Linked DNA regions of Arabidopsis thaliana. The protein of the gene in region 4 interacts with the protein of the main gene of each other region in a biochemical or structural test. Each region holds a gene or a part of one and is shown on either strand. Other genes may lie near its edges. The genes, in order: BHLH32, GEM, TTG2 and TTG1.

Evidence for each region.
Region 1: the proteins of TTG1 (region 4) and BHLH32 form a complex in vitro, tested with the Arabidopsis thaliana proteins (one study listed by BioGRID).
Region 2: the proteins of TTG1 (region 4) and GEM form a complex in vitro, tested with the Arabidopsis thaliana proteins (one study listed by BioGRID).
Region 3: the proteins of TTG1 (region 4) and TTG2 form a complex in vitro, tested with the Arabidopsis thaliana proteins (one study listed by BioGRID).

What each region holds. Positions count from the first base shown.
Region 1 is NC_003074.8:9,366,051-9,373,883, reverse strand, and holds BHLH32 (basic helix-loop-helix 32), read right to left. Parts: upstream 4,386-7,833; 5' UTR 4,287-4,385; coding exon 3,798-4,286; intron 3,334-3,797; coding exon 2,788-3,333; 3' UTR 2,397-2,787; downstream 1-2,396. Other genes in the region: AT3G25716 (uncharacterized protein), read left to right, coding at 471-665. UniProt on the Arabidopsis thaliana protein: Transcription factor required for MONOPTEROS-dependent root initiation in embryo. Transcriptionally controlled by MONOPTEROS.
Region 2 is NC_003071.7:9,537,378-9,546,799, reverse strand, and holds GEM (GRAM domain family protein), read right to left. Parts: upstream 5,673-9,422; 5' UTR 5,278-5,672; coding exon 4,941-5,277; intron 4,841-4,940; coding exon 4,739-4,840; intron 2,866-4,738; coding exon 2,594-2,865; coding exon of another isoform or gene 2,558-2,593; exon of another isoform or gene 2,211-2,557; coding exon 2,022-2,210; 3' UTR 1,762-2,021; downstream 1-1,761. Other genes in the region: PFK5 (phosphofructokinase 5), read right to left, coding at 1-13, 101-196, 300-411, 494-567, 639-726, 805-1,130; AGP2 (arabinogalactan protein 2), read left to right, coding at 8,005-8,400.
Region 3 is NC_003071.7:15,640,853-15,648,952, reverse strand, and holds TTG2 (WRKY family transcription factor family protein), read right to left. Parts: upstream 4,143-8,100; 5' UTR 3,869-4,142; intron 3,685-3,868; 5' UTR 3,677-3,684; coding exon 3,464-3,676; intron 3,463-3,463; exon of another isoform or gene 3,378-3,462; coding exon 3,252-3,377; intron 3,186-3,251; coding exon 2,545-3,185; intron 2,471-2,544; coding exon 2,161-2,470; 3' UTR 1,877-2,160; downstream 1-1,876. Other genes in the region: RPS5B (ribosomal protein 5B), read left to right, coding at 1-3, 348-619, 718-921, 1,016-1,070; ADK (adenosine kinase), read right to left, coding at 5,635-5,778, 5,865-6,137, 6,218-6,358, 6,666-6,962; AT2G37240 (Thioredoxin superfamily protein), read left to right, coding at 7,233-7,410, 7,495-7,627, 7,705-7,750, 7,837-7,896, 7,984-8,020. UniProt on the Arabidopsis thaliana protein: Transcription factor. Interacts specifically with the W box (5'-(T)TGAC[CT]-3'), a frequently occurring elicitor-responsive cis-acting element. Regulates trichome development, production of mucilage and tannin in seed coats, and maybe root hair development.
Region 4 is NC_003076.8:8,367,745-8,375,973, forward strand, and holds TTG1 (Transducin/WD40 repeat-like superfamily protein), read right to left. Parts: upstream 5,104-8,229; 5' UTR 4,990-5,103; coding exon 3,964-4,989; 3' UTR 3,963-3,963; intron 3,437-3,962; exon of another isoform or gene 3,388-3,436; intron 3,263-3,387; 3' UTR 2,573-3,262; downstream 1-2,572. Other genes in the region: AT5G24500 (fantom protein), read right to left, coding at 126-971; AT5G24510 (60S acidic ribosomal protein family), read right to left, coding at 1,551-1,604, 1,682-1,894, 2,054-2,122.

The DNA.
Region 1 (7,833 bases), on a different chromosome or scaffold from region 4:
TATCGATAAAGAAAGGAAGAAAATGGGGTCGAAATGTCAGGTGGGAAGAAACTGAATCTGCATCATTGTCTCATTGAAATTCTGTTGTCGGCCAACTTTAACTATGTAGCCCATATGTCTTATGTACTCATCTACACTACACCTATAGTTTATTTTGTCATGTACATATGAATATATATATATATATATATTATATATATATTATATATATATATATTATATATACATATATTGTTATATGAATGATAAAGTTACATAGCTTAGACTATACATATTAGACTGATAAAATCTTTTCATCTATAATAAAGAAACTGTATGGTAGAAAGTATTATCCCGATACATCATAACTATAATTGCAATTGTCACTATAGAATCTAAGTTCGGTTCTCTTGTTGTTTTGTACATCCATCTATGTGCAGTGAGAAAAAAATCTGTCTGCAGTAAGAAAATCTTGACGCACAAAGTTATTGATGAGGAAGAGACAAAAGAAGTTGAAAGGTCAAAAAGACAAGAGGATAGGCTCGATCACGTGCGGCGGGCCAACACGGCGGTCCTACCACCGTCGCCGTCGTGACCGGAACCATCGTCCTCTTCTCTTGTCACTTTCTCACCTCTGGGTCCAAATTTTATTTGTTGATGTTCACATCATGGAGTTTCCGATTTAATGGTTTATTTTACATTACCCAATTGAACTAAACATTCCCACGTAACATTTGTGAACTATATCTTATTTCCATTTTTAGTCTTGTTTCAAGAACTCAATAGCTTTCAAGATTCAATGATTCCATAACTTTTACACTAGTCATAAAATTTATTGGAGTCGCGATTTCTGTTATTTATTTCGGGAGGCTAATGCAAATCTTTATAAGAAAAAAATTAAGTTATGTTCCATAAATGATTCTGCTATTTCATTTTTCACACCAGTATATTTGTTTCGCATGGTCATGTGTTTATAAACCAAGTTCATTGTTCGGAATTATGTTCATAATTCTTATGGTGTCTGTCTCCAACTAATCACAAATTCCAACTAGCTAAAGTGTTTTTGGTCTGCATGTAGATGTAGTCTTCGGTCTCATGCAATGTTTCAGATATTATTATTATACATATGTTTAAAAAAGATTCAACATTATTGGTCCACATACTTGTATGTTCACTTCCTTGTACTTCAACACTTGGTGGACTTCTCTCCAGGTGCATTCATATTTGTGTTCTTCTAATCTGTAACATAGCACATGATTTTATTTTCTCAACGTATTATATAATAGATATGTTTATACTCTATAGACATCAAAAGAAAATTTCTTACTTAATGTCAACTGTTATAAGACAATTATCGTCAATCTGTTTGATTATCTTATATTTCTAAACCTCACAAGTTCATATACTATGTCTATATTACATCTATTAATATCTAAAACGAGAATTACAATCAGATTGGCCTATTAGCTCAGTTGGTTAGAGCGTCGTGCTAATAACGCGAAGGTCACAGGTTCGATCCCTGTATAGGCCATTTTTATATTTTTTCTTTATTGGGCCTCAACATCAGCCCATGGGTCAAAATGATATCATCACCCACCGGCTATACACTCTTCAAAAGCACATATCGAATCTCTTGGGCCAAAATTGGGTCTAGAAAACTTGGCCTTTTAACTCGTAATTCTTAATTGTAAAGTCTTTTCTTTATTTTTTGTCATTTTTTTTTCTTTCATATTCCTGTTACATTATTAAATATTGCCGATATTTTACCATTTATATATTTTTTGTTGAAATTTTTTCCTCAGTGGATTAAATTTCCGACTGTTGGACCGGAATACAGAATTTGTCTAAAGCTGTCTAAGTAATAAGACTCAAGAAAACACCAAATTAATAAGCCCATTTTTTTGGTTCTACGTTGAATTTTGGACTAAAGGAAAAACCAGTAGATACAAAATGACGAGATCATGACGTAATGTGCTTGTGGTATCAACCGTCTCTGTAATATTGTAATAAATAACGTAAGTCAGTAACGGCGAAAGAGACAATATTATCAGAGATCCCAAAACTAAGTTTCTATAAATAGAACTAAGATCTAAGTTTTCACTTCTCACGAAAAAGATTCGATCTACTACTACTCTCGATTTCACTTGATATAACTTACACAAATCTTCCGTCACATAACTCTCTACATCAATCTAATTTAAGAAATATCACATTAATTATATATCGGATGTGAAGAAAAAATTGTGGTTTTAAAAAATATGTAGAAACTGAGGAAATAAATTATAGAGTAAGTACGACATAGACTATTTCTCCCATGCACATTTAAAAACTGATTTCGACATAATCGTTGTAGTTTGTCAGAAAAAATAACAATGGATATGCGTAAGAGATTTCTTTATGTCATTTCTCTTATATCAGTCACAATAGAAAATAAATTGACAAGTATAAAACTATACTCTATACTATTACTACGTAGTGTTGTTGCTTATAAACAAAAGATTAAATAGTTGCAGAGTTCATGAATATGATAAATAAAACTTCTTGATAAATTAATACAAACCCAAGCTCTATACATTTCCTATATTAATTAAGACGATAAAATGTCTTAACTACCATATATAAACCAAACTCATCACTATAAAACCCTAAACAAAGGGTTCTTCATAGATTAAAAAAACATAGAAGAAGAAACCCAATCCCAACTACTAAAAACACCGAAAATAATACTAATATCACCAACCCATAATCAAATCCCATTTTGCAAGTCTAATTAACTAACCCTAGTTAATAAAGACTTGACTTAATTAACTAATTATAACATCGATTCACCATCTTACTAGTCCTTTGCCTCTTAATACCCCCTGAAGATGATTTCTCCAAGTTATTGTTATCGTTACTTTCATCATTATTATGAACACACTTCTCTATAACCGCCTTTAACGCTTCTTCTATCGAACTCACACGATTATTCATCATCCTCTCTTCATCATAATCCTCCACGTCATCACCATCGAAGTTTCTACGATATGAATCATGATCTTCTTCATCATCGTATTCTCGGCTCAAGAACAAGATGTTCTTGACTCTACCACCTACGGTTGCGATCTCAGCTTTGAGAGTTCGAAGACGAAGAGACTTTAAGGCATTGATGACGTCATGCATGAGGTCAGTCCTGTCTTGGCAGCAAAAGGATGCTCTTATCACCAAGTTTCCTTCCTCGTCGTTGTAAGACGAATCTACGGTCAGATCATCGCACTCTGTTGGGACTTGATACGTGTCGGTGATCTGTGATGTTTGTCGTTTTAGCTCCTTCATGTGTTGGATCACTTCCGCTAGCAAAGAAGCTTTGTCCGTCTATACAAAACCAAAACGAATCATAAGTATTTAATCTTCTTATTCTTCTTCTTCAATAATAATAACTAGTACAAAAATACCCCATCTGTGGACTATAATTACTTACCAAAAATATCGATTTGATACATTTATTTTAAATTTGAAAATTTACAACTACTAAACGATAATAGTTGAACAGAGATAGATAAAAATGATAATATTGAAAAATATAGTACTTATCATTTTTGAAACTGAATAATTAGTACTATATTTATCAGAAAAAGAACAATTACTACTACTCTCTTTATTAAAAAACAACAACAATTACTACTACTCTAACCAATAATAACTAAATAAAGAGAAATTTTGAAGGATCATTAATTAATTAAAACTATTTTTCCATAGGGTTTTCAAAATAGTGAATTAGTTTCTGAAATATCAAACCATAATGAAAGGAGAAGAGTGTTTATTTATAAACGACTTACTTTGGTTGTGTTTGGTAATATACTACGCAGCTTAGCAAGATGAGTGTTGATTCTCTCTCGTCTTCTTCTCTCAGCTTCACTATGACTCTTTGAAGCAGCTAAAGCCTTAGCATCCATGACTTCTTGTGCACTCAATTTTCCCATGATCTCACCATCGAACCCAAAGGACGAGCCACGACGCATGATGGGTCCAAGAGCTTCGGATAAAATCCTTAGATGGTTCTGAGGATGATCCATGGAAGGAGGAGGAGAGACAAAACCGTCGTTATAGTCAAAAGAAGAAGAGGAAGAAGAAGCTCTTCTGTTGAAGTAGTGAACCGGGTCAGAATAACGGGTCGGGTTAGATGGGAAATGGAGTGGGTCAAAAGAAGGTAAAGATGTCGACGACCAGGGGAGAATTTGTGGATGATGATGAAGATGAAACTGGTCTTGATAGTCTTGTAAGTTGTGAAATGTTTGAAGACAGTCTTCTTCTTTCATTGCGTACATTTTTTGGTTTTTTTGGTTTTTTAGTTTTTGGGAGAAAGAGAATTTTAGAGAAGAAGAGACAAAAGGTCACAAACATCCCATTTGATAATGCATACACATGTGTATATATAGTGCTATATAATGTGTCCTTAATTTTTAAACAAAATTTATTTGATATTTTAATATTAAAGAATTCTTTCCAAAAAACCTTTTTCACCGGGTTATACAATCAGACCGCCATTATCTTTGATCACATCAAGGAGAATTGTGAGAAATAACGTATGAACTTAGTTCCATATAAAATGGCAGAATAGTATAGTGATTACGCAAAAAATATTATGTAACCTGAATTTATTTTCAACTATAATGTACCGTTAATGGATTTTTGATGTATTGCTGTATTCCAAATTTTTTAATTAAAAGTTAGTGGTTTTTCCTGTTTAATAAAAAAATCTATCATTTTCTTTGATTAAAATGTTATATATTACAGGTTTTTATGGGACCACTCTTTTTTTTTTTCTGGTATATCTAACAAAACAAATGAAACTGCAAGTGCTGCACATCTTCTTTGCTTTTCTTTTACGACTTCTAAATGGGGAGCTGTCATCATCTTGTGGATTTCTCTGATGGATTTGGCTTCCTATGAATATTATTATTTATTTATGTTCTTAAGAATTGATTTCATGTTAATGAATAGAAGATTTTTGTGCCTTTTCTACTTAAGTTAATCGTATTTAGGATAAAGTTCATGCGATTTGTAAATGAGGAATACCACGCCACCACTATATCAAAATATTATTTAGCAAAAAAAATACTAATTCAAAATATTTCGATATGCATGGTTATATATTAATCGTAACAGTTGATAATATATACAGTTATTTTCGTATATATTAAGATCTGTGAAATGCGATCAAGAATAATATGCAATAGTAGAAAATCATGATTTTAGCAAGATGATTCTGGTCAGCACCTAATTCATAGGCAAAAATAATAGTTGACAAAGTTATTTCATTTGAAACTTTTAGAAGTTAGAATGGTCAAATAGACACAATCATGTATACTTATTTATTTTTTTGGCATTTGACATGATCAGGGACCCAAAAGATATTGTCTAAGAACTCTATTTAAGAAAAGAAAAAAAAGTCTCAGATGCTAACTGTGAAAATAAAAGATGATGTCCAAAATTGTAACTAAGGTGTTTTTCTTCATCAAAACAAAGTTTTTTTTTATCTTGGGTTAAACCTAATCTAAGATTGTAAGCAAATCAAGAGCATTTCGTCTGCCTAATTTCTATAAGTATAATAAGAAATTTTCGAGTTTATACCACGACTCTACAATTCTACAAAGAAGAGAAGACTAAAGTAGATTTAATTTATATAATCAAACACTCCTACACAATTTGACATGCATTTAAAGGGGAAGAAGAAAGAGGTCATGATTATTGTTTTTTCATCAGGTTCTGAAACAACGCGTTAAAAGAATTTCATTTGGCTGCTTAATGTTTTTGTTTTTTCAGTGGAAAGCATAATAATACTCGAAAATTAACCAAAAGAATAAAAAACAAACACTGACCACAGGACACACGGATTGTCGACCGACCAGAGACCAAAAAGACTTTTACTTTTAATCATTAATAATCCCACTCGTTTCGTATAGCCAAACCCACTTTCTTGTTTTTCTTTCCTTCTTTAATCTAGTTTTTAATCTAATCAAGATTTTCTATGTTATAGATTTGTCTCAAGTGCACCGAAGAGATTCTCTCTTTTATTTAATCTATTCATACATATCCAACGGATAAATTTTGATTATGATCTGAATATATCTTCGAGTGTGTTAGCTTAATTGTCTCATACTAAAGAAGATTCAAATCCTAAAATAATTAGTGAAAATTCTCAAACCTAACTCAAGTTTACCATCCGCCAGTTTATCAAGTAGATGTGCATATAATCATTTTTAAAGAAAAAAAGAGTTAAAAAGACTTATGAAAAAGAGGTAAAAAGACTTATATCATTATATATATAATGAAAAGGAGTGGAAAAACTAAATAGTAGGATACTAAAATGCTACCGGATTCGAGTACTATTTTTGTGAAAGATGAACTATTTTTGTGAAACTGTCACATGTTTTATCAAAAACTGATTTTACATATAATGATCTATAGATCCGAAAATTCTTCATTAAATATATACTTCCATATGAATGGTGATAAATAATAGAAGAAATGAGAAAATTTTGAGTATAAATTATAGGATAGGGTATGAACTAGGGTTTTGGGGTGGTGGTGCAGAGTGAAGCCCACACGACGTTCAACATTCTGGGCTCTTTCTCCACGCTGTCTTCTTCTTTTTCCTTCTCCAAGAATTCTAAATCATTTTGTCTTTGAATTTACTTCTCTTCTTGTTTGTTTCCAATAATACTTCTATATTATCAGTACTTGATTGATTTATATACATGATTCTTTTCTGTTTTTTCTTGTTGAAACTTGAAACAAACCTCGCTATAATTCTTCTCTCGAAAACTTTTTACACAGGTCCTAATGAAAAGACATTTGAACAATCGAATTTACATCTCATATATACTATGTATTTTGCTGAGATTTGTTCAATTGAGCTACTTCAATCTACTTATGAATTTTAGTATCTTTAGTTATAATTAATCATGAATTAAACTCAGAAACCTTTTAATATTTATAAAAATGTATATTCATGCGTTTATAAATGTATAAATATTTGTATGTGAAGGTTTACTATTTTTGATTTGCTATGTTTGAGTTAAAAAGCATATTTATCAGTAATGTTTTAATATAATTGACTCCACCATGTTTTAACTAATCCATTATATATTTTTTTTGTATAAAAGCAGATCACATATTGATATAGACGTTATAAAATATTTTTCCGACCCTTAAATTGTGAAAATCACTCAACTAAGGACTTGATCATAGATTTTTTTCCATGAGTATTCATGCTTTGATTGATTTTTTAAAAATAGTATTAATTAATTAAAATACAAGATGCATGAATATTGCTCCGTTTAATACACCAATAAAAACATGATGTATTAAAACAAATTGTTCGATTGAAGTACTATTTAAACTATACAGCGTACTAGATTTAACTAACTTACCTAGAAGACTTAACTAAATTTTAATACTAGTATTTACGAAAAGAATGAACATTGCATCAAAATCAAGTATACGAAAGGTATATATATCATGAAGCCATATTTTATACACTGAAAAAGTGATAAACATCATATCAAAAGCAGCAATAATAATACTAGTTTCTAATGACTATGGACATAACCTGATAATGTTTCACGGTATCCAATACTATATAACAAAAATACATTTTTCAATATATTATATTAATATTGTCACGAGACCATACCCTTTAGCGAGTATGTGCTTAACTGTTGGTCCATAAAATGTAATAATTTTATGGTGAAGAATCATATGATAGGAAACCATTGTTGGAAGAAACCTATAATCATTACCTTTAAAATAAAGTCAGTGTTCATGTTCAAAAGGCCTTTGAAAAAGCTAAAATCATTTTCATCTTGACAA
Region 2 (9,422 bases), on a different chromosome or scaffold from region 4:
CTTTCCTTGATAACTGAAAGCACAAAAAAGCAAACCATAAGCCAAAACAGAAACAGAGATTCGGGTTCCTTTTTCTCGAAAGAGCACAATCGAACAATACCGGCATTTCAGTTAGATCTTTATCAGAGAAGCCTCGATAACCGAAAGGAATCCCCACAATGTTCTTAACACCATAAATCTCAAGAGTAATGACAATCTGCAATGTATCCATACAACACAACAATCAAAGGTCTTTAGTAGGACTTCACACACACACACACACTGTTTCTATAATGCCAAAGTTTCAGATACAAACTCACATGTCTGATGACATCATTGAGACCAGGGCAAAGGCCACCACAAGTGATAATCGCAGCTTTCACTTCTTCCGGCCTGAAGTATATCTTCTCCCTCGGACCAGCACGGTGAATCCTAAAGATCCCATCACACCAATTATAACCAAAAACCAAAAAAGAACCACAAATCCAAACTCAAAGAAAGTCCAAATGTTTACCATTGTTCAACCCAAGAACAGTCATGATCAAGGCACTCAGCTCCAGCAGAAGTAGGTGAGGAGTAACTAATAACCTAATTTCCAAAACAAGCCAAATCAATCTTACAAAGTTCAGTAAAATAAAAATAAAAATCTGAAGTTAAACCTTGAGAAGAACTCTATCATTGTTATTAATGTATCCATGCCATTCTTCATCAGAAGGGTAACCACCAACAAAATCTTCCGTCGGAGACCTAAATTATCAAAACTCCAATTTAATAGATTTTCCAAAACCCAGAATCTGGTACCTCAAGCTAAAGTAGTGATCTGACCTCATCTTAAGACAAAACGTTGAACGAATGGCTTCAGCATCAGGTAAGACATCAGTGATGTGAGGTATGCTGAATCGTTGCTCGAAATCTTTCTCATACTTTAATTTCCAATCTGGATCGCTGAGATCGATCGATGAAGCTGAGGTTTTGCTGTGTTGAATCTCCGAAGCTCGCACCGAGACGCGAGATCGTGATGAGGGATTCACCGGAGATCTCGATTTCCGGAGGATTAAGGAGGTGAGTCCGTGAGAAGGAACGAGAGAAGAAGAATTGTTCTTGTAAGGAACGGAGATCCCGGAACTGATCGCCTGAGAAAGAGCATCCATGGCGAATAAGAAGATTCCGATCGGAGATCTTTTTGCTTAGTTTTCTCAGTCAACTAAGTTTTTTTTTGGAGGGAGTTTTTGCCAAATTTACAAAACAAAAAAAACACAACGACAGTGTTAGATCACAGTACTTTGGCTCTTTAGATTAACGAAGAAGTACGAAACAAAATCTAACTTCATTTTTTGTCTGTAATATTTATCACGCCTCTAAATATGTAAAAATCGTCTTCAACAAAATTAGTGACTAGAACTTCTGTGAATAAATTTCGAATTTAGTTAGTGATCTTTGGAATAAATCCTAATCAGATGCTCTTATAATTCGTAAGTTGAATCTGATTCGATGAAAAGATAATGAAATACTTTTCGAGCTGATAAACCCTTTAACACAAAAAAAAAAATACTTTTCGAGCTGATGCTTTGCAGAAGTCAAAGGAGTTGTGTATTTTGAACTTTATTGGGGCAAATTAGTAAATATCAAAAGTTGTGCGGCAATTTCGTACATGGGTGCGAGTAAATTTCGTTTCTTAGATCTACTGGTTCGGTATATTTTTCAGTTGTCACTGGTGGAAGCAATTTGAATCGGTTCTAATAGTCCGTTGTCCCTGGGACGTGTTGAATTCACATTTGTTGATCCTACTACCTCAGAGTTCTTCAACATAGAAACTAAAAGCAACTGCTATTGAATAAATTGCAATTAAGCTGTCTTCTCATAAAAATATCAAAAGATAAAACATTTTAAAGTAAATTTGTAAAATTCAGCTAGTTTCTGTAGTAAATAGGATATTGAGATTAAATGCAAAATAATGTAAAAATTTGAGTCTTCTGATATGACTAAGCAAGAAGAGGTGGAGATCAACATGCTTTTATGGTCATCAGTCATCCAGTTATGTATCACACCGACCTTAAAGCACCGGCTTGCAAAGAATCTTGCAGAGACGTGACAGCGCCGTCGTAGTTTAAAAAACCCATGAACCAAAACTCATGATTGTCTACCGAAATCACCTGTATGTACTTCTCTGCAGGATTGACTATGCTCGCTGATGGATTCACTGCTTTAAGTTGATGTAATGGAATTACTACCTATTTAAGAAGAAGACACAAAGTGTTCATCAATCATCAATGTAGCAAAGCTTATTACAATGAATAAGCAAATGCAATCGTATCGGATTGGTTTCGATGAAACAAGAGATGAGAAGCTGATGCAATCATGTTATTACTATCACAAAAAAAAAGTCCATGGATTTATGATTCCGTTAACAAGTCCAGATTATTTTTCTATCCAAATGAATCACTCTACGAAGGCTCCTTAGTTGATGCTACTAACAAATTATAACGAAACATTGTCTCAAGCATTGACCAGATAACCAGCCAACAGATTTCGAACAGTTAATGATCACAAAAGTAATAATATGGTGTCTTCAAAATGGCTATAATTCTGAAATGAAAGGTGTAGGACACATTACCTTGTAATAGCTCCATTCGGTTTGATCACCGTTTTTATAGGAGAGAGGGTTGTCACTACAGTAAGCAAGTTTGGCACTGGATATATATAGAACTCCCATAACTGGGCCAGCTGATGTTGACAAGTAACATGCAAAAGAATTTAGCAACTGTTCTTCGGGATCTGTCTCAAAGGTTTGTCGGAATATCTTCTCATATCCTCCTTCTGCAAAGACCTTTGTACTCTGTGCAATTCTTCCCATTGCAGCATCCGCAAAACTCGGAGCAGTTCTCACTGATTAAAAAGAGAAGATTATAAGATATATCAATCAGATAGATCTTGAATGAAAATGCTAGCGAATCAAACAAGTAAAGCACATCCAATCAAGGAAGAGATGAATTGCGAGTTCACACACAAACAATTGAAACGTATATTGAATCATGTTATTTTTCTCAGTCACCCAAATTCAAACTTTACGTCCATACTATGTAAATGCAGGCATTAGACATTTTCCCTCAAACTCCATTACTCAAACACTTACCCAGGAACTCATCTCTATCCATAACACGACCATGTCCCAAGCTGAAACTCATATCCACAGTTCTAGCTCCTAACTCACCAAAGGCTGTTTCTTCTTTTTTTTTTAATGTTCATCCAAATGTATTATCTAATCCAAGTTCCTAAAAGCAATATAGCAACTCTATCTGTTCCGGAGCATCTATTCAATATTTCACTTCTTTAACAAAAGATCTACTATATTTGAGCGCAAACATCCATTCCAACAATGCTAAACATAGAAGATCGATTCAAACATGATATGAAATACAAAAAAACTGGAGCAGTTCTCACTGACTAAAGTAGAAGATTGTAAGAGAGATCACTCAAACGAATCCTGAATAGAATATGCTAGAGAAGCGGACAACTAAAACACACCCAATCAAGGAAGACATGAGTTATAGAGTTCACACATGAACACTCTAAACATAAATTTAATCGTGTAAACTTTCTTAATTCCCCAATTTCTATAGTTTTAGCTAGTCATCAGACATTTTCCCTCCACCTCCATTGCTCAAACATTCACCAAACCACCAAGAACATCACTTGATTAGAGTGGTAATTCTTCAGTCCGCAAAAAGGCTTTTTGATCTCAAAACTAGGAGCTAATTCCCTACTACTTAGACTACATCACGAATGACCATGTCCGAAGGTCAAACTAATATCCAGCTCTTAATTCGTCAAATGGCGTTTTTGATTAATGTTCACCAAAGGCATTAAAATTCCAAGTTCCAAAGAAGTAACATGGCAACTAATACCTAATCCAGAGCACCTAATTTCAATCTGATATTTTATTTGTTACCAGACAATCTACTAAAAACTTGACTGCAAACATCACACAGAGAAAAAACAGCTTTAAGGTTATTCCGACTCTCTTATAAACACTTGTCATGGGTCAAGCTACAAAGTTTGACAGACTGAAACTGGGAGAATCTTCTTGTTCAAATCCAAGACAGAGATTTTTTAATTACTGTGATCACAAACTTGACAATATCAAAAGATCATCCTCTAATACCGAGCAGATGTGGTATTAATCTTGGTTCTGGAGACAAATCGAAGGCAAGAGATCCACGTAGAACAATTGTGATTCTAAACTATTTATGAAGATAAACCTGAGAAAAACCGAGATATTTCTTCCAACACAATATGATTCCATAACTAAAATAGTCCGTTTACTATTCTTAGCAAGAACTCAACAAGATCAAAGGTCATTGTCTTTTAATGTACTGCCTAAAGACTGAAATTCAGGGGAGTGTTCTGTTTGTAATTAAGAAAATTTATCAACACAAGCCAGTAAGAACGTCCCATTTTATAGCAACAACATGTTGAAAAGAGATCAAAGAATTGAAGATCATAAAAATACACTTGAGCACTATCGAATATGATGATAGTTACTCAATCCTAAAACCAGTACTAACCTAAACACCAACATACAACAAAGGAAGAAAACCATAATACAGCAAAAAAAATCTTTTATGTTTCTCTAAAAAAATGTAGACTTTGAGTAGAACAAGCTACTTTTAACAATACCCTATGAACAATTCTTGATTCCACAGAACTCTAAGCATTGAATTTGATTACAAATTGATATTAAAAAAAAACGAAAACTTACGGTGTTGCCATGTGTTCCCGGCAAGGCTCTCCGTCTTCTTTGCTGCTTCTGCAACCCTCTTTCCCCATCTACCAAGCACTCCTTTCACAGTCTCCATCGTATCTGAATCCAATTCACAGACACAGAGAGAGATCCACAAAAAGGTAAATAAGGCTACAATACACAATCTCAATTCTCACCGCTACGATCACAACACTCTTACCTTTCAACGAAGCATCTGAAGTCTCAGCTGGAGAACGAGCAATATACGGATTAGATCCAGCCGAAGAAGACGATGCAGCTTTCTGATCCGGTTCCTGAGATCCAGACACCAATTCGGGGCTCCAATGTACAGATTTCTTCGATCCAGACGATGTTCGACTCGGAGCTTTCACCGGTGTCGAATCGCTTCCCTTCGTCTCGATTTCAACCTCATCGGACAAGGCTATCTCAGTGTTCGCATCCTCGACTCCCTTCGTTTTCGAATCGACGACGCTTAGCGATGGATCCTTCACCGGGACCTCAGTCTTCACTACGGTATCTCCCTTCGGCGGCTCCATAAATTGGTCTCCAAAGACGGATCGTGGCGAGTACGGCGGCGCGTGAGATAAACGGTTTGTTTGAGTTTGAATTTTGCAAGGATTGGTATTGGGACTAATGGTATCGTTCCCTTTGCTCTTTTTTTTTCTTTGGTAATTTTTTTTGTGTTATATATATATACCAGTAAATACAGATTTGTTCCCTACATTACATATGATGATAATTATGATACCTTTGATTTTCTTTGTTAGACAATTATGAGGTATGACTAAGATCAATAGGGACATGAACATAAGAGTCTATGTTTTTTTCTATGTAAGATCAATACCTTTGATGTTTTGAATTTAAAAAGAGGTTCAATGTATGCAATATATTATCAGAAAATGTTTGAGGAGTAATATGAGTTGTATAGACTTCACACGTTCTTCACCCAACTACCTACTACTGAGATTCACATAGATTTGATGAACGGTTAAGGACACTAAATCTACAGGAGACAATATCACTTCTTTTACCTATAATACATTGTCATATAGCACTCGGTCCCTTATGATAGCTAACCGAACCAAATTTACATACTTAGCATCTCCAATCCCACTTTAATTTTGTCCTCTAAAACTCTATGATATAGTACATTCTCTCCATCCTCATTCTATATGTTACTTTAAAATAGAGAAAATTGTAGGATTACTCTATATATAGAGTGATAGATTGGAGATAAATCATACTCTATTCTAGAGGAAATAATAGAGATCATTAGAGTGGTCAATTTACAAGACAATGAGAAAATGATAAAGGAAATGGACGAGAACTAGATAGTAATTACGTGTGAAGAATATAGAGAATTTGGCAGAGAAATAATAAATTGAGTGAACAAAAGTACACTTCTTAAAATTTAAGGAAAGTCTAGGTTTTATATTTTTGGAGGATCTTTTATCATGTTTTATAAACTAAATAACGTTGGTGAATTGATCAAAAAAATTATTTTTCTTTTTAGATTGTTTGAAGGTGGAAAAATATTTCGGTAGTCAATGATTTGATTAAAATAATTGGATTGCGGTTCCAAACTTGAGTTTCGTTGAAATTATTTTTTTTACTTTTTTTGCACTAAAAGATAGATTATATATGAAATTATATAAAAGTGGCGATTAACAAGATAATTCCATAAACTAAGCCGACGGATAACATGAAATCTTCTGAAACTAAAGCCCAAGAATATGGGGAGCTTACCAACACTACTGCTAATGGAGTTTTGTTGGACTTATATATCAGAGTTTATTGGTACAATCTACAATAATAACATCTAATGGAGTTTTTTTTTTTTTTTTTTGGGTAAATGACATCTAATGGAGTATTGATTATTTAATATTCTAAACAAAAAAAAATCAATTGAATATCTCGTGAAGTTTTTTAAGCACGGTGTATTTATTTAGAGGTTTCAAGATGTTCTATTTTCTTTAATGTATATAGATTATAAATTAAAATACTAATCAATAACTCCCCTTAGATCTTAGATTTTTTCATATAAGTGATAACGGAAAGCTACTTTGGGCTTGATAAAATACGAAAAGTTACGAGGTTAGGCCACATCCACGAAAAGCTAGAAAGAGAGGCCTGCCAAGGCCTCGTCCAAACTTGTACTACTAATCAAATTAATTAAAATTTCTTTATTGGTAACTTTTTAATATATTCATTTGGTCAAAGCTGGCAGGAAAAAAGTTTTCAACTTATAATTTTCTTATGAAGAAGATACTGATACAATGCATATTAAGGTCAAAGCAAGAGTCTAACAATTTATTATTCAAGGAATATAAATAATTGTTAGGTAGGTTCTTATTGAAATGAAGCATTTCACACCGTAATAATGATATAGCTGTAGAATATGAACAATGCGCGTTTGCTTGACTGTTTCGTTGTAAGTTTGTAACAATAATGGCCACCAAGTAATCTGTCACTAGAATATTGCAACAAAATAAAAACCATAAATATAACTATAATGATCTACTAATTTATTAATTTAATTAACATGAAAATATGACAGCTTTTGCCAGCCCTTGCTCGTATAATCAGTCCAGATAACACATTACAACGAAACATATAAAATAACTTTTTTCAACAGAAACGATTATAATATACATCTAAAATAATTAACAGTTGAAAATTTTGATAGACATACTATATATGAATATGAACTTAAATAATGACCCATTTTTCGTATAATGTTAATTATTTACTCGTAAACGCGTTATTTCCACGAAACATTAGGCAAAACTCAAGTTAATTTACGCCTGGCATTGTAACGCGGTTAACCAAAAAGCAAATTACGCAGAGTCAAATCATATCTAAAAACCAATATAAACATAACACGTGTCAATACTTAACTGATCTCAGAATTAACATCGTTAAGAGAAAACACGTGGCAGAGATCTGTGTATCCGTTTGGTGCTCCTTCATGTAGATGATTCTTCAAGAAAACTTCAAAAACTCAAACACGTCAAGTTTAAGAAAGAAAAAAGACAACAATTATTTTAAACCGCCATTGAAAAGCTAAGCCATGTTGTATTTTTGTATGTGGTTCGCATGATTAGTGTCACACCAATAATTAATTATTAACTATTTCCCAACCATCGCGTATATATAGAGCTCTCTTCTCTCATTGTTCTACACCATCAACAAAAATAAAGAAGAGTTTATAACATTAAACAGAGAGAGTTTCAAGATTCAGACAAAGAAGAGATAATCTAAAAATGAATTCTAAGGCAATGCAAGCTTTGATCTTTCTTGGTTTCTTGGCCACTTCATGTCTCGCTCAAGCTCCTGCACCAGCACCAACCACCGTTACTCCTCCACCAACGGCGCTTCCTCCAGTGACAGCAGAAACACCTTCACCAATTGCTTCACCGCCTGTTCCAGTTAACGAGCCAACTCCAGCTCCTACCACTTCTCCAACAACATCCCCGGTTGCTTCTCCTCCTCAGACCGATGCTCCTGCTCCCGGTCCTTCCGCTGGATTAACTCCAACTTCGTCTCCAGCTCCAGGACCAGACGGTGCTGCTGATGCACCAAGTGCCGCATGGGCTAACAAAGCTTTCCTTGTGGGAACAGCTGTTGCCGGAGCTTTATACGCTGTCGTTTTGGCTTAGAGAGCTTTTGAGTTTGGTGGATTTGGATCCTCTGCTTTCTATTACTGTTTTATTTTAATTACTTCTTCTCGTTCATATTTGTTATTTACTACTATTATCATTTTGACGTGGACACTTGTTGTTGTTGGGGATGAGATGAACATAGAGACAATATGGTGTAATATCTATTCTTTTATATAAATCAAAATAATTCTTTTATATGTACTTTCGCTTTGTTATGTGTTTTTCAATAACAAATTTTAAGAGCGTAGATGGGTCGTTGTAACCATGCCAGGCCCTTCCAAGTAACATGTCCGAAACTAAGTCGATCCAACCTTTAAAACTAGGATTTGGGTTAAATCCTCATCTTTAATATACGGGATGCCTAAATTGTCGTTGGCCCATATATTGAACTGATATTGTCTTGCTCATGTAGAGGCTTGCTCATGTTCGTCAACCAACACAAGCTCGTTAGTAAATAGCCCATTATATTCTAGTGGGCTTAAAAAGAGGACTCGCACATCTTTCATTCCGTATTAATGTTTTTTTGGTAAAATGTGAAACATTTATATCATTAAATTTTGACAGAACTATAAGATAAACAAGTAGCAGAAAAAAAAAAACTATAGAATTAGCAAAAACGGAAATCTAAAACAGAAACGAGAGAAGAAACATCGATTCTAAAATATCAAATTCAGAAATTTGCGTGATTTCCACAACTTCAAGTTACCAAGAAGCTGGGATTTCATCCTATTTGCCACGAGCAAACCCTAACAGAGGTCAGTACTCAAAGCTTCTAGATAAGGTGTCTATAACTTCTCCACAAACTAATGCAAAAATACGATGACAACAGTAGACTAATGCACAAACCCGACAGTTACAAAAGCATCTACGGGTAACCAAAGAAACCACCTCTAGTCACCATTCTTATTACAAAACAGGAACCATCTCTCACGGACAAGTGATGCCACAAAAACCAATGCGCCGCCTCTATTCGTCCCTTGAAGACTTCACTCAGAGAAAACGCACACATTCAAAACTGT
Region 3 (8,100 bases), on a different chromosome or scaffold from region 4:
TCGGTATATTCCTCACCAATCCCTTCTCTTAGAATATCTCTTTAGACACTTGAGAATTGTCTAGGATCTAATTCTTATTTAGCTGTATGATAGACATTGAAATGATTGGTTTATATTGATATGAGTAGTTACATTAGCTTTATTGTGTGAATTATATCAAATTATAGTCCTCACTTAGTCACTTACTAGATCTTAGCTATTATAATCTTTGTCCGTCTTCACTGAAACCCATGTTGTGTTTGTTTTGATTATAACACTAATTTGACACTAAAGGTCATGTATTTTTTGTGTTTTATATGATTGGTGTGCTAATATTTGTTTTTGATCTGCATATTGGTGTTATGTAGGTTACGGATATTAGTCTTGTGGACTACATTGGTGTTCAGCCATCGAAGCACGCAACTTTTGTTCCCCATACTGCTGGACGATACTCTGTGAAGAGGTTCAGAAAGGCGCAGTGCCCAATTGTTGAGAGGCTCACTAACTCTCTCATGATGCACGGAAGAAACAATGGTAAGAAGTTGATGGCTGTCAGGATCGTCAAGCATGCCATGGAGATTATCCACCTCTTGTCTGACTTGAACCCGATTCAAGTTATCATTGATGCCATTGTTAACAGGTATATTAAGATTGCTATACTGAAACCTGTAAAATTCTTGCGTGCTTGTTACTATGAACTGAATCTAATTAAGAAGGTTTGTTCTTTATGTGAATTAGTGGTCCACGTGAAGATGCTACCAGGATTGGATCTGCTGGTGTGGTTAGGAGGCAGGCTGTTGATATCTCTCCTCTAAGACGTGTGAACCAAGCGATCTTCTTGCTTACAACTGGTGCACGTGAAGCTGCCTTTAGAAACATCAAGACAATCGCTGAGTGCCTTGCTGATGAACTCATCAATGCTGCAAAGGGATCTTCCAACAGGTAAGAACACTCTATCTACATAGTCTGTCTCTTGATGGCTTCACTTTATTGTTAGTTAGTTAAGCTAATAATAGCATCTTCTCTTGTCTTGCAGCTATGCCATCAAGAAGAAAGATGAGATTGAGAGAGTTGCTAAGGCCAATCGTTAAGGGATCTCCCTTTCCTCTAAGTTTGCATTATATCAAAGAGTTTTTGTGTTGTTTCCATTAGCTTTGGATATGTTTCAGATGATCTCTCTATCTTTAATGAAATTTTGACGCTTATAATCGACTTGGGATCTTGATCATCAAACGGTTTCATATTTAAAATTATTTCATCTATATATTTTTCAGTTTAAAGTGCTATAAATCATGGTAGTTATATGGTTTCCAATTTGCTGCTACTCCAAGATAAAAGATGTAGATGGAGCCATGAAAAATTTCAGATAACTCAAACAATCTATTTTGAGTCTCTAAGGACACAACCAATGCCTCTAATTTCCCTGTCAGTCTTCCAAGCACCATGTACATTGCATTTAAAGGCATTTGGGCTCAATGGTGTCCATACCGTAAGTAGCATTTCTGGATGGCAAATCATGTGTATATGCCCACATGGCTCAAGTCGGGTGGTTAAGGGCTTCTCAATTCCGAGACATGACCCGCCTTTCAATCCTACGGACAAGATATACAAGGCGTGATCTTGACATGTGATTCTTTCTCCCTTCGACTCACGCCGCGAAAATGTAAACAAGTATCGGATAGATAACTCATTAAGCTTATGAGTTTATCTTATGTTCCTTGGAAAGGTAGTACAATACCAACGTGGTTACTGAGATCTAGAGGATTTCGATAGACCACCAATGTAATTGAGTTACACCGATGGAAATTGCATTATGTTTAGCAACGTGAACAGAAAAGAAATGGTCCCATGAAGTCAAATTTCTCAAGTTCGATAAACTAAACATATTGAAGAAAGTTACCCCTAAAAAATATAACACACGTTTTTATTTGGATTTGTTAAAATAACATCAATCTTCTTGTCCTTACAATCTTAATGTAAAAACAAATAAATTCACACGATTAATTAACTAATGTGGTATAAAGATTGAAGAAACAGGCATGAATTGATCAAATGGCTTTTGCTTAGGAAGTTGTGAGTGAAGAGCAAATGGTGATTGTATTTACCATTTGCTTCTTCTTTTTTCTCATTCTTAACAAAAAAAGAAAAAGAAAAAAGAAAAAGCATGAATGGATCATCAAATCAAATTGTTTGCTTAGAAAGTTGTGGGGAGTTAAAGGGAAGAGTAGAGGAAGATGGAGGGCTCAAGAGCAAATGATGATTATGTTTACCCTCGTAGGTTGTAATGAAAGCTCTTGGATCATCACTCGCTCGTTCAACATGTTTCCTTGCTCTGCAATTAGCACTTGTGCATCTGTAATAACTTCTTGGATACGCATTGCCTCCTACCACTTTTTGTCCATACTTTCTCCACCTGAATCCATCTTCAAGACTGTCTGATTCCACTGAGCCTTGCGATACTCCTGCTTCACTAGATTGCTTCTCGTTCTTCCTGTTATCAAACACAAAGTCAATACAAGCAATGTAAACAAAATTGCAGAAGTTAAGAGTTTGAAACAATCTTACCTTCTTTTGCTTCTGCTTGGATCATCAAGCTCTCCTTCATCACATTGGCTACTCTTGCAACCGGAATCTGAAGTTCCGGGATTTGAATTTGTCGATCTTGGAACAGCAAACTCAAATGGTGTAATAACACAACCTTCACTCATCTTCTCTGTTCTGTTTTGAGTAGAGTCATTGCTTTGATTGTTCCATAGAGGAGAATAGAGATTATTGTTAGGGTCTTGTCCCATTGATCCTTCAGAAGCAATCGATTTTGGTGGTTTTTGAAACCCTGAAGAGATTGATGATGAAGCACGCCGTGGAAGAGGACAAGATGGCTTTGAGTGATTATGTTCACCTTGATACACAATCTCTGAAACTTGACCTTCCACTGATCTCTCTACTTTCTTCTTCACCGGACATTTCGGGTGTGTGCATTTGTAATAACTCCTTGGACACTCACTTCCTTTAACTTGCTTCTGTCCGTATTTCCTCCAGTTGTATCCATCCACAGAAGATCTATCCCCAGTAGATGTCTCTGATTCCGTAAAAGATGGAACTTTCTGGACTAGATTAGGACCTGCTCGATGTGTACCTTGGCTCACACTCTTCCCATAGGATACTGCTTCGCTTTGTCTCCAAGTTTGTTGACGATTCCCCTGAAGCTAAAGAAAACAGAATTAAACAACATTCGAAAGTCAGTGACCTTGTTAGCTTTAAAATCAACTTACCATATTAGCCAATGCAGAGACGGTTGCTTTGGAGACAAGCTTTGCTTTCGGTTTATAAACGACGTAGTTTCTGCTATCTGAATCATCATCACAAGACATTCCATTTCCAATACCTTTTACTTCAGCCTATCATTATCAGAAATAGTTGAGTCAAGACTAGAGGATGCGGAAAGAAGATAACAATGCGAAGAATTAAATAGACAACTCGATACCCGTGGACATGAGACCGAAGCTGCTACTGGCTGATTGAATCTCAAAGTCTTTGGTCTTATAGCAGCGTCTACAATCTCGTGGCAAGTCGTTTGCGGAGATACGGTAACTGAATCAGTAAGAAGCTCAGTGAATGTCCTGAAGCCAGAACTTGAAGAAGGTCTTGAGGCAACTGGTTTTGCTATTACCACTCTTTCACCATCATTCACCTCCATTACTTGACCTTAATCAATTATGTAAGAGACATATTTATCAGATTCTATAGGTAAAGACTCATTTTTCCAAATTAGGAAAAGAAAGATGGAGCAAAATCAAAGAAGATGATTGGAGAAACATCAATTCCATTAGTACAAGATCTAGTTGCAAGTTATAGCATAAAGAAAGAAACTTGACTAGTGAATCATTACCAAAAGTAGAACACTCACGACGGTGAATGCAAAAACTGAAGTTGTGATAAGGATTTGAAGAATCTCTCCTTTTTAGGAGTTAGGGAACGAAGAAAATCTGATGGATCCAAATTGATCCGGATCCGGTTTGTGATTATTGAGAGATGATGATGTATTTCTTGGTATGAGTTCCTTGAGCTTTAGCCGACACTGTGATGGATACACGTGTCAGTATAGGGAACGTTGGATGGATCAAGGTCAGTTTTAGTCTCTATAGTGATGAAGAAGCCAATGAAAAGGAAAAAGAGAGATAGAGGAGATGGACACTCGTTGAACGTTAGTTGAAGTTGAAAGTTAGTTGGAAAACGCGGCCACAAGGAACGGTGTCGTTTGGTTTTAGTTGAAGACTACAGCGACCAAAAGAACTTATTGGTTGTTGACACGCGCACGAGCCTGTTCTGTTCGAAGTAAACACGTGAACTGAACTGTACCAACTTATTTTATTTTAACTCAACCCAACCAAATTGAATTCGGTTTATTTCGGTTACACCTCTGTTAGATAAGAGACGAAGAAAATTCAGTCATCTTGTCCAATACTTTTCACTACATGAGTTAATAAAATATTATTAAATACCACTACCCAATGATCATTTGACGAAAATATTTATTAAACCTATCAATTGTTACTTTGTTAGCTTGCAATTTATAACAATATTGGAGTTTCAACAAATATTGGAGTTGACATTATTAATTGTCTAACTAATATGTTAGGTTAGTTAAGAAGATTGTTGAAGCTAATCAATGTGGTTAATTAAGAAGATTGTTGAAGCTTAATCAATGTATATAAACACTTGTACACAGTTTTAGTTTCTATGAAGATTTCTCTTTTCTTATCAACTCTCCTCTCTACTTCTTCCTTGCCTTGTGATTCGTCAATAATTTTGCGTTAGGCATTTTCTGTAATCTTAAATCATGTTTTAAATTATTTCGTTCATGACAATGATTTCTCTCATCGAGACCTCTCAGTGAAAGGAGTTTAGTTCCGGTTAGCGTCAAAAACCAACAACATTACAGCTTTGATTGACCATCACAAAGGCAATCGAAGTACACGTTTGTCACTGTGATTTAGATTGCTATGAGCCAAGTCCCGTTCAGCATTTCAAATTGAATCTGTATTTACCATCCATACTCACGTAGGGAGAGTTAAAAACCAAAAAAAAATTCAGAGACGGCAAACGTAAAACAGAAGCTAGGTTTTGATCACAACAAATAACAGAGCAAGTAATACACAATGACCGATAATGAGAGCATCAATTCCATGATGTAAGGAACGATTCTATCCCGCACCGCCAATGCTAGGACAGTCAAGAGCTGGTTATAAGTTCCCGTTTAATCTATGCGGCTGTTTTACTTTACTGTCTGGTTGAGTTCTTTAACCAGCCAGCTCGGCCAGCCGCAATATCATCATTCATCACATTTTCCAAAAAAAACATATCACAAGAGCATAACGATTAAACTCAATGCATAACAAGTGGTGTAGAAGTATTGATACATTCCTGTAATGTCACTAGCAATCTCAAACAATCATGATACATCATATTTCTCTCATGGAGCCAAAATCCCCGGCTGGTGGAAAAATAATAGTTTGCGCAAGTGTGTATGATTATTTCTATTGAGGTGAAAAACAATCTAAGGTTTTCTTTTTACTTTTATTTCCAACACAAAATTGATTACGCATATGTATTCCACATGCAAAGAATTTTAAATACCGGGATTTGATAGTGAACTTATGCTGCGACAGACTGTTTCTCCTCGTAATCGTCAAGCCTTAAAGCTTCCAATAGCCTTGGCCATGACTCTGGGATGCCTCCAGGTAAGTCAAACTCCATAAGCTTTCCCTTGGTACGGTAGTATTCTTCAAGAGGCTGGCTCTGCATATAGAAAAATACAAAAAGGCACTAATTAACACCTGATCGTTCATAAACTAGCAATGGAAAAGGACAATAGAGGGGCTTACCGTTTCATTGTATATACGAAGCCTTGCTTTCACCACCTCTTCAGTATCATCAGCTCGAGTGACAAGCTTTGACATACATTGATGTGGAGGGAGAAGTGGATCCATACTAATTCCAGGTCTTCCATTCTCACCCTTTAAGTTGATGTGAGCTACATTAAAACCCTTGCCACATTGACTACATGTTCTCCTTCCAAGGCATTTGTCAACCAAAACTTCCTCAGGAAGCTTCAAATTCACCACCAAATCGATGTCAGTTACATCTCCCAGTATTTCCTGAACCAAAAGACAATCCACTGTTAGAAATGATAATGGAGATTGATTATCAAAAATTGCTTAAAACGAATAATACTTACAGCTTGTCTCATGGTACGAGGAAAGCCATCAAGGATAAACCCTGATTCACCTCTAGCTTCACCAGCCTCAAGTCTTTTGGACAATAAGTCTACAATGATCTCATCAGAAACCAATTTTCCCTGATTTACAATCTCCGATAGCTGCATCAAGTAACAAGAGATTGTTTAACAATTATGCATACAGATAACAAACAAAACAAAGCCATTGACTTTAATATATATGAATAGATCTGTTATGATACTGATCAAATGTAGTTAGAAACACTTTCAAATGGACTTAGCTCACTAGATCTATCGAGAGATAGACGGAAATTTTCAGATCCAATAATGAAAGTCCGATTAGCTAAACATTCAATTTCAGACTATATGGATCCAAAATCGAACAAAGAAGAGAATCTCCATCAGAATCACAGTAACAGAAAATGGGAAAGAAAAAAAAAGGTCGCACCTTTTGAGAGAGAGGTCCAGAAGATGCAAGCTCTTCACGGACGAGATCGCCGGTGGCGATGTGAGGAACGCCGAGAAGGGTTGATAGTCTACTAGCGTAAGTTCCTTTTCCAACACCAGGACATCCCAAAAACACCCACTGAACATTTCTATCTTTCGGAGCAACCCTGCTAGCTCCGCCGCCGTGAAGAAACGGCGAAGGCGACGACGCGTGGCTAGCTTCGGCTGAAGTAGAGTAGAAACGGTTACCAAAGCCAAAGAGGGAGGAGGATCTAGCCACACGCACTAATCTCGCCATTGCAGAAAGAGAAATGTAGAGAGATAGAAGCGGCTTGAGCTTTGAGCTTACCCTAAACAAGAACGTGCACGAACATATGCTCTTTAGATTCTTTTCCCATTTTGCCCTAAAGTTAACTGACGTGGCATGTGACTTTTTCTCTGAGATCATGGTTACATCATCTGACACGTGTAATAACCCAACTCCACGAGATTAACCAACGGTATGAGAAAATCGATTTCGATTTTAAATTGGGATTATTATTATTTTCAGCTTTCTCTGGAAGCAACAATGGCGATTGCTCTCTCGTCGTCGTCGACGATCACGTCCATTACTCTGCAGCCGAAGCTGAAGACGATTCATGGATTAGGGACAGTACTTCCTGGTTATTCGGTCAAATCTCACTTTCGTAGTGTCTCTCTCCGGCGTAGCGCCGTGGTCGTGTCGGCCATTACCGGAGCTTCTTCCGGTGAGCTTAAGTGTCTTCTCTTTCTATATTATATTGAATACGGAGATTCTAGATTACTTACTAGATTATATTGATTCTCCACAGGAGCTGGAATAGGGAAAGGTACAGCTGATTCGCTAGATACAGTGAAAGTCTTGGATTTGAGAGGAAATGAGATTCCGATTTCTGATTTATGGAAAGATAGGAAGGCCGTTGTTGCATTTGCTCGTCATTTTGGGTAATTTTCTCATTATATTTGATGATTCTGGTTTATGACTATGTGTAACTATCTAAGATTGCTTGTTATGTTTTCAGATGTGTGCTCTGTCGGAAACGAGCAGCTTATCTTGCAGAAAAGAAGGTAACAGAATGATCTTTGGTTTAAAAAGATTGGCCATTTATACACAATTGAAGTCATTGAGTGATACCTTTGAGATTTTTGTTTAGGATGTGATGGATGCATCTGGTGTTGCTCTTGTTCTGATCGGACCGGGAAGCATCGATCAGGTAAACAACATTTTGAATACGCAATTTTTGTAAGCGTAAGCAGTTTTAAGCTGCTGCTTCTCACGTTATGACCATCTATGTATGCAGGCTAATACTTTTGTGGAACAGACTAAGTTTAAAGGAGGTATGTTTTCTCTTGATTACTAAAAAAGCCTGGTGAGTAGTTCCTTTTATGAGATGATCTAATTATCTGTAATCAACTTT
Region 4 (8,229 bases):
TCGCATCGGTGAACACTGCAGAGACCTAATCCAGTTCTACTGCTAGTAATAACCTAATACATTATGACTATCAATGCCATTGGAATCACATAACGTAAGGATATGCAATAGTCATGATCACTCACATTGTCTGAAACTGATGTTGAAATCTTCATCTTCTTGCTTTTTTTCCGAGCAATTCCACCATCATCATCATCAACATCATCACATTTCCTCTTTTTCTTCTTCTTCTTCTTCATCAACTTCTTCAACTTCGAAACAACTCTTGATTTACCTTTCTTCTCTCTCACTTTCCAAACATTTCTCCTCCTGAAAACAAGTTTCTCAGATTTCCAAATCTTAAAGCTAGTATCAATCACGGTCACTTCACTTCTCGAAAACCCAACTAGATCTTTCTCTCCTTTCTCTTCTTCCTCATCCACACCATCACCTTCCACTACACTTCTTCTCCTCTCCCTAATCTCCGGCGCCGGAGGTTTCTTATTGTATGAACTACGCGACGATGAAGTAGCGAATTCACGAACACTAGGGAGACAATTAGCGTCGTCGCTTTTCTGATTTACCAACGGAACAACAACGTCTTCAGGAGTCTCTAAAGAGCAATGCCTAGGGTTTGATTGTTTCCTTGGTAACTTCTTCTTCCCGGGAATTGTGGAAGATTTAGAGGAGCCGCTGAAATTGAATAGCTCGAAGAGAACATCGCTCATCACGCCGTACCATTCTCCAGGAACTGGCTCCTCCGATGGACTTTCAGCTAATTCTGGATCTGAAGGAATTGGAGCAGATGGAGGTGAATCGGAAGCGGAACTAGTGGCGGCGATTTCCGTGTGGTGGTTGCGGCGGAGAAAGTCGTCGAGAGTAAGTGGATTGCCAGAAGCATCGTCATCGTCGGTTGTGAGGCCTCTGTTTAATCGGAGGCGGTTGAGCCAAGTGGAGGAGGCAGGTTTGTCGTCGATGATGGAGCTTAGCATCGGAGACGACGAAGATACAAATCTTGGCTCGTCTTTGTTTTGTTTTTTTTCTCTCTGCTGTGAATTTAAAAACAGTGCGCCGTTTGGATTACAGGAAAACTACAAATGAAAATCCTGAGTTCAACTACGCGTCGTCTTCTTATTATCATTTTTTTTTTTGGTAACAATAAATACGTCTTCATATGGTTTTGTTTTTATAAATCCAAAAATACTAAAACCAAAAAACATTGAAAAGCGGATTTTTCTCTATCTTTAATCTCTCGTAGTACTAATGTTAAAGCGGATTTTTTGGCACGAAAAGTTCGTACCCAACCGCTTCATATTATATTTGTAAACAACATTCCTCAGGATTGGCTCGTTTGAGTCCTAATTAATTTTCGGATGACAAAAAAAAAAAAAACATTGAAAAAGAAATTCCCCCATATTTTTGTTGTTGTATATATTTATTAAACAATAGCCAATAATAGATTTGATTTATTTTTGTTGTCTCTCATAAACAATCAAATAAATTGTAAATAATCAAAATATTCATATGAGGCAAAATTCATAAAATTTGGAAGCAAAGAAAAAGAAGCTCTTCTAGTCAAATAATCCGATTATCATGTCATCTTCACTCTCTTCTTTGATCACCTCCTAAGATTATAAAACAATTATACCATTTAGTATTTGATTTAGTAGTTTGTTGTAATTAATAATGTGATAATAAATACCATCTCATTCTTCTTCTCCTCGGGAATAGAGACTGATTGAGAAGCGGTAGGAGCAGCAGTGGTAACTGGACGAGCCACACCACAACCACCGGCTCCTACATTCATGATGAGATCGTCGATGTTCTTCTTCTCACATAGCTTAGCAAAGAGGCTAGGCCAGTATGACTCGACATTCACGTTGGCTGTTTTCACCAGTTTTGATATGTTCTCAGCCTAATAATTTTACATTATTACAACACTTAAGTGAGATCAGTTTGAAACCACAAGGCAAGAAAAGAGAGATGACGATTCTAGAGACTAAAACATAGGCTAAACAGTGTCTCAATAGCTAGAAAACAAATTTGAAGAAAGAGAGAAGAGAAGAAAACTAACGGTGATCTCGATTCCATCATCGTGGAGGATGAGAGCAGCATAAGTGCAGGCGAGCTCACTGGTCGACATTCTATCTACCTTTAACCTCTTTGTACTCTAAGTTGTATTATTATCGCTTGCATTTTAAGTTTTGAGGACGTAGGTATTTTATATTTGGGCTAGAATTTTGTAAAATTTAACCCATCACATAAAATCTGACAAGTAGCTTGATCTTAATTGTAACAAGATCACAACAAATTTAAAAACATTTTGACACATGTCAAATAGTTACATTTTAGAGTATACATTTGTTCCTAAATCTAAAAGATTTCATAAGCTAAATTTTCTATTTTGATCATCTTATAAATTGAAAAAAATATGAGTATCCATGTTTTCCAAATCACTTCTCAAACCATTAGAAAAACTCTATTTATATACAAAGAAACACATTGTGATTATTAGAATAAAATAAATAAAATTTTAAGTATGGTATGATATTATGGAGACAAAAGTTAAAAAGTAAAATTTTCATTTATAGTATATAGATTTATAACATTTTGGAATTCTACTATTAATGGTTTATAGATTCTTATATTTCTAGAGGAGATTATCGGATCAGTGATTTAAATTAATTCTCATTTTTTATAATTTTCAAGATTGAAAATTTTGCTACGATTTATAAGACTTCAGATGTGAAGATTCTAAAATATTTGTGTCAAACATTGGATTGTTTATAATAATTTACTCACCAAATTCCCATTGGAGTTCATTTCAAATCTTTGTGTCACATAGTCGACTGAAACTCCATTGAAATTCAATTTAAATCTGTGTCAAATAAACAAATAAGTCTTCCAATGGAATTTATACTGCAAATCTTTGTGTTAATTATGCAAAGAAGTTAATTCAAACTGACAAACTCCATTGGAATTCATTGCAAGCTGATTTATCTTAGAGACGTCCAATAAAGCAAGACAGGGTTGCATTGTACTAAGCTCCAATTACCAAATCTAAACACCAGAAACCGCAATATATCCTGGTTGGGTTTTATACACAACATAAGATAATAGTATCATTTGGTTCATCAAATGAATTCAGTTTTAGTTACAATCAGATAGATACAGAGTCATTGCGGACCTAAAAGCGAGAGGGAGCGCAAACCAAACCTACTTACGCACATGACGATTATACGGGTCTATGCTAAAATCCTTATTGATCACTTCACATCTGCACCTGACATCAAGTGAAATGTATAGTAATTATAAGGAAAGGTTATTTGATTTTCTAGGTTGCATATGTGCGTGTATATATGCAATGCTGTTGTCTAAATGAGTTACAAAAACCTGAAGCACACATACAAAGATGTTCAAACCAGCATGAAGTTTCCAATTCCACTTCTATATGTTTCTGAGGGCATACAGCACAGTCAGCAGTAAACAATTCTCAGATACTTCGTTAAATTAACAATATTTGTATACGTAGCTAGTGGCTTCGTTAAATTAAGAATAGATTGTCTCAAAAAAAAATAGACTGAAGAATTATGGGTAAAAATTAGAACCTGACGAGTGTACAACTATTCATCATATGATACATCAACTTAGATGAAAGCCAACATATGACTACTACACTATCAGCCATTACAGCAAGTGTGAGACCTGTCGCTAATAAGAGCCAATATATATGACTACTAAACTGTGATTTATGTATGCATAACAAAGTAATTGATTTTAACAGAGATATTGATTCAGGTAAATCTAAAACGAGTTAGTGTCAAATCTCTAGTGGCTTTGTTATCAAGAATCGAAAAAACGTTTAGTTACCAAACCTAGAAGACTATCTGTAATGCAACACAATCTAAACCAATAATCAATGCTTCCTCATTAGAATCTAGGCCTAGCAAATGAGAATTATGTAGCGAAACAGAAACTCTCACCTCAAACTCTAAGGAGCTGCATTTTGTTAGCAAAAGCAATACCAATCCAATCAGGCTGCGAAGAAGACCACTGCAACTGATTAATCTCCGAACCAGCCGAATAAACCGACATCGGATCAATCCCATTGGGTCCAGCAACAGTAGGAAGCTCCCAAATAAGAGCCTGTGTATCATCACCACCAGAACAAATATGTTTACAGCTCTGAGGCGCCCAAGCTATAGCATTCACACTAGCCTGATGTCTTTCAAGCTCAGCAACAGGCATAGTCGGCGAACGAATATCGAGAATCACAACCTTATTAGAATCCATCAAAATCGTAGCCATATATCTAAGATCTTGTTTGTTCCAAGCAAGTCTTAACAAAGGCGTATCAGGCTGAGGACTCTCGTAAATGATTGTAGAATGTTCCTTATCACGTAAATCAAAGATCCTAACGGATCCATCAGCAGAGACTGATGCGAAAACCCTAGCTTCTCCCCAAGCAATGTCATGAACCTCTTTATCATGAGCTATAAGCTGAGTCTCAACAACAGACTTCTCAATATCCCAAATCGTACACGTCGTATCAATACTACAAGTTCCGAGACGTTTCGGCTCTACATCGTTCCAATCGAAGGAAGTCAACGGCGCACAAAACTCGCTCGTTTTGCTGTTGTTGAGAACCGAGATTGGCTCGACGGTTGATGAATCTTCGTTAATTTCCCAAAGACGGAGGAAATCGCCGGAGGAAGCGAGGAGATCTCCGGAGGAAGGACGACGGAGAGAAGGAGGACTGAACATTAGCTTTGTTGGAGGATAAGGATGCTCGAAGGAGAGATTCGGGAGAGGCTTAACGGTCATTGAATCGGAATCGAAAGAGAGAATGTCGATGCGGTTGTTGTAATCTTCGAGGAAGCTTCCGACGGCGATTCTGTGACCGGAGGATGAGCGGAGAGAAGAGAAAGCCATGGCGTAGAGTGGATATGGTGAGTCGTATGTGACGGCGGTTTCCGATCTGGATAACGAATCTGGAGCTGAATTATCCATGGAAATGTGTGGTGCTGATTCGATTCGAGATTTGGCTTCTTCACGACGAAAGTGAGAGGAGAGTTTTGAGGTCAGTGTCAGTCGGATTTTTCAAGAGACGGAGAAATAATCAATGGAGACGGCGTAGATATAAACCCTCTGGATTAATCAGTATCTTTTAATGTATCTATTGATAATGGGCTTCTGTATATTCAGATAATGGGCCTTTTATTTTAACGTTAAGAGCTATAGAATGGCCTAATTATTGGATCACTAGGATGACATGAAACACTAACAACATTAATATGTGACACTCTAATCATTTTACTAACAATTGTCTAATTCAGCTAAAATAAATTGTTTGTGATTAAGATAATCAACAATCCTTTTTTATTATTATTATTAAGAAAATGTAAAATTTATTCGAAAAAAGCTTTTAACATTCGGTAAATAATTTGCATACAATTTTTCAAGAAAGTTCTACTCCCCTTTAGTGTTTATATTAAAGCAAACCAAGCTTCCATGCATTCATCGTAGCTTCTATCTCCTTGTTCACGAATAGAGAAGATCCAGATTCAAATTTGTTTGTCAATATTTGGAAGCAGTTGCGCCGGCGGTAATGGTGCCTCTCCATGTCTCGTATTGTTGCTCTCTCTCCATATGGAATAAACGCGATCTCAAAGGTGTAACGTGCTAAAAAGAGATTTAGTCTTCCCAATGACGTGTCTGTGAGGGTTCTTTCAACATCACTCCACCTTGCAAGTGAATAATAAGCTTAGTTAGTCTGCTAATCTTTATCTGAAATTTGGTTGTTGGCATTTATCATAAGACATCGAAGTTGTAAATTTGGAGACAATATAAATCTAGCATTAAACACATGTCAAATGGAGGATTTATCAAGTGGTAACATAAATTCTTATCATAATCTAGCATAAGTCATGAATCAATAAATAAATAATAAAAACTAACCACTAAATATGATGAAAAGCATAAACATAACTAAAGAATATAAATAAAAGATAAGAGATTAAAAGGTGAAAAAATCTTTTACTAATTGGAATGAGAATATGAAGATCTTGATCCAAAATGTAAGAACATTATATAGATCTCAAAATTTATGAAGGGAGAAGAAAACTTAGGTTAAAAATGTCTAAAGCTTACTTAAATAAGAAAAGATTCAAATTAAACATGACTAGAATATGTGTAGAAAACTCGAAATAATGTTTTTTAAAACACATTTATGGGTTATTACGATTTTTCTGTACAATGACAGAGGTTCAAATTTAGAGGAAAGGGACATAACGAAAGACGCCCTACTTTGACATGCCCTACCTGCTTCAACCCCAAACCCACGTTTACTCCAAATTCATACTATTTGATATTACATCAATCAATACAAATAGATACATCCAATAATTCGTACATACTCGTGATATTCACTTATTTAGAATAATAGTCAATAGTTCATACTGTAATTAATAAATTAGCCCATTGACGACAAAAAAAAATGAGCTCATTAATTAGCTACCTAGTATATTATCTTGATCAAATGTTGGTAATTCAATTAGCTAGTTTTTGGGGAGAATAAAGTATGGAAGAATAGGGTGCGGTTCATAAGAGAGTTAGCTAAGGAGGTATTGGAGGCGAGAGCTAGTAGCGGAAAGGCAACACAAAGGGCTGGTCGGGTTGAGAAGCTGATAAAATGGCTTATCTCGTCTATGGGCTGGTTTAAATTAAATACTGATGGGGTATTTTATGGCAATTCGAGACTCGCGGCTGGTGGTGGTCTGATACGTAATGAGGAGGGTGAATGGTGTGGAGGCTATGCGCTAAACATAAGGATGCTTATTTTATGGCCTATCTACCAACTTGACATTAAGAATGCTTATTTACAACGTATGAGACCGTTTGCCTGTTTTCATCCCCATATTTGTGGTAAATGGTGGTTGAGATTTTGAAGACAAGGTTATGGGACTCTCATCTGCTATCATTTCCAGTACGTTTGCGCTATAGTTTTTTATCGAAAAACTAGATTGACCGTGTTTCACATATAGAGAGGCTAATCATTTTACGGACATGTTAACAAACTATGCTTGTCTTTAAGCTTTTATGCTCTTGTTTATGTTCTCCGGTGTGCGGATGAAATCTTACGGGATGATGTTTCTAGACCTGTTTGTTCAAGACGAGTGATTGTGTAATTGTTATTTTTGTTTTTTAATAGAAGTCGGGAGACATTCTCTCGGTTATTCACCAAAAATGATTTAGTAACTATGATCAAAAACTTTTGTTTGAGATTCTTTGGTTTAACAAAAAGAAAAAGAGTATGTTACCGAATTCAAATTATTAATATCCACGTAGCAATTGAATACTTAATTTTGGTATACCATATGAAATAAATATTATTTGATTATAACTAGTTTCTACATAATTTATGATTTTTATATGCGATTATGAAATCTAAGGCTATACCAAGATATACCTGATTAAAATCGATAAGATCATAAAATTTGATATCACATAAGAAGACAAAAAAGAAAGTTTAACACATATGTAACATCTCGATTTTTAAAATATAATGATGCATCTGGAAGAGTTTTAAATAATTAATTTGGTCATATATATTATTAAAATGTATTTATATTTTTGGTCTAATATTCTGAAAAGACTTTAAAAATAAAGATTTTTAGGTTGGAACAATTTTAAAATGAATAGCTTTTAATAAGTGATTTTTGGAATCATATGAATAAAAGCAAAACACGAATATATTATGTGATAATTTGTAATATTGATAAACAAATATTTAAAGTCTCTTGGATATGTATGAATAAAAACAAAACATGAAAAAGATCATGTGATAATTTGTAATATTGATAAACAAATATTTAAAATCTTTTGGATATAATAGACTGACATTTGGACAGAAAAAAATTTATATATTGGGTTCACTCCTAGAGGTGAACCTCTTTTATTTACCCCTTTTTAATTAAATAATAATAATAAACAATATGACATATCATACTATATTTAAAATAAATCAAAACTAAAATAAAAATAAAATAAAACAAATTATAGAAACAAAATCTCTACAAACCCAAGCCGACATATATATTTAATTATAAATTCTAAATCCTAATCATTCTTTCATAAACTTAAACCAAGATATAATTTTATTTAATTGTAAAATCTAAACCTAATTTTAATAAATCCAAATTAACATATAATTTGTTTAAATGTCAAATATAAATCCTAAACATTTTTCTA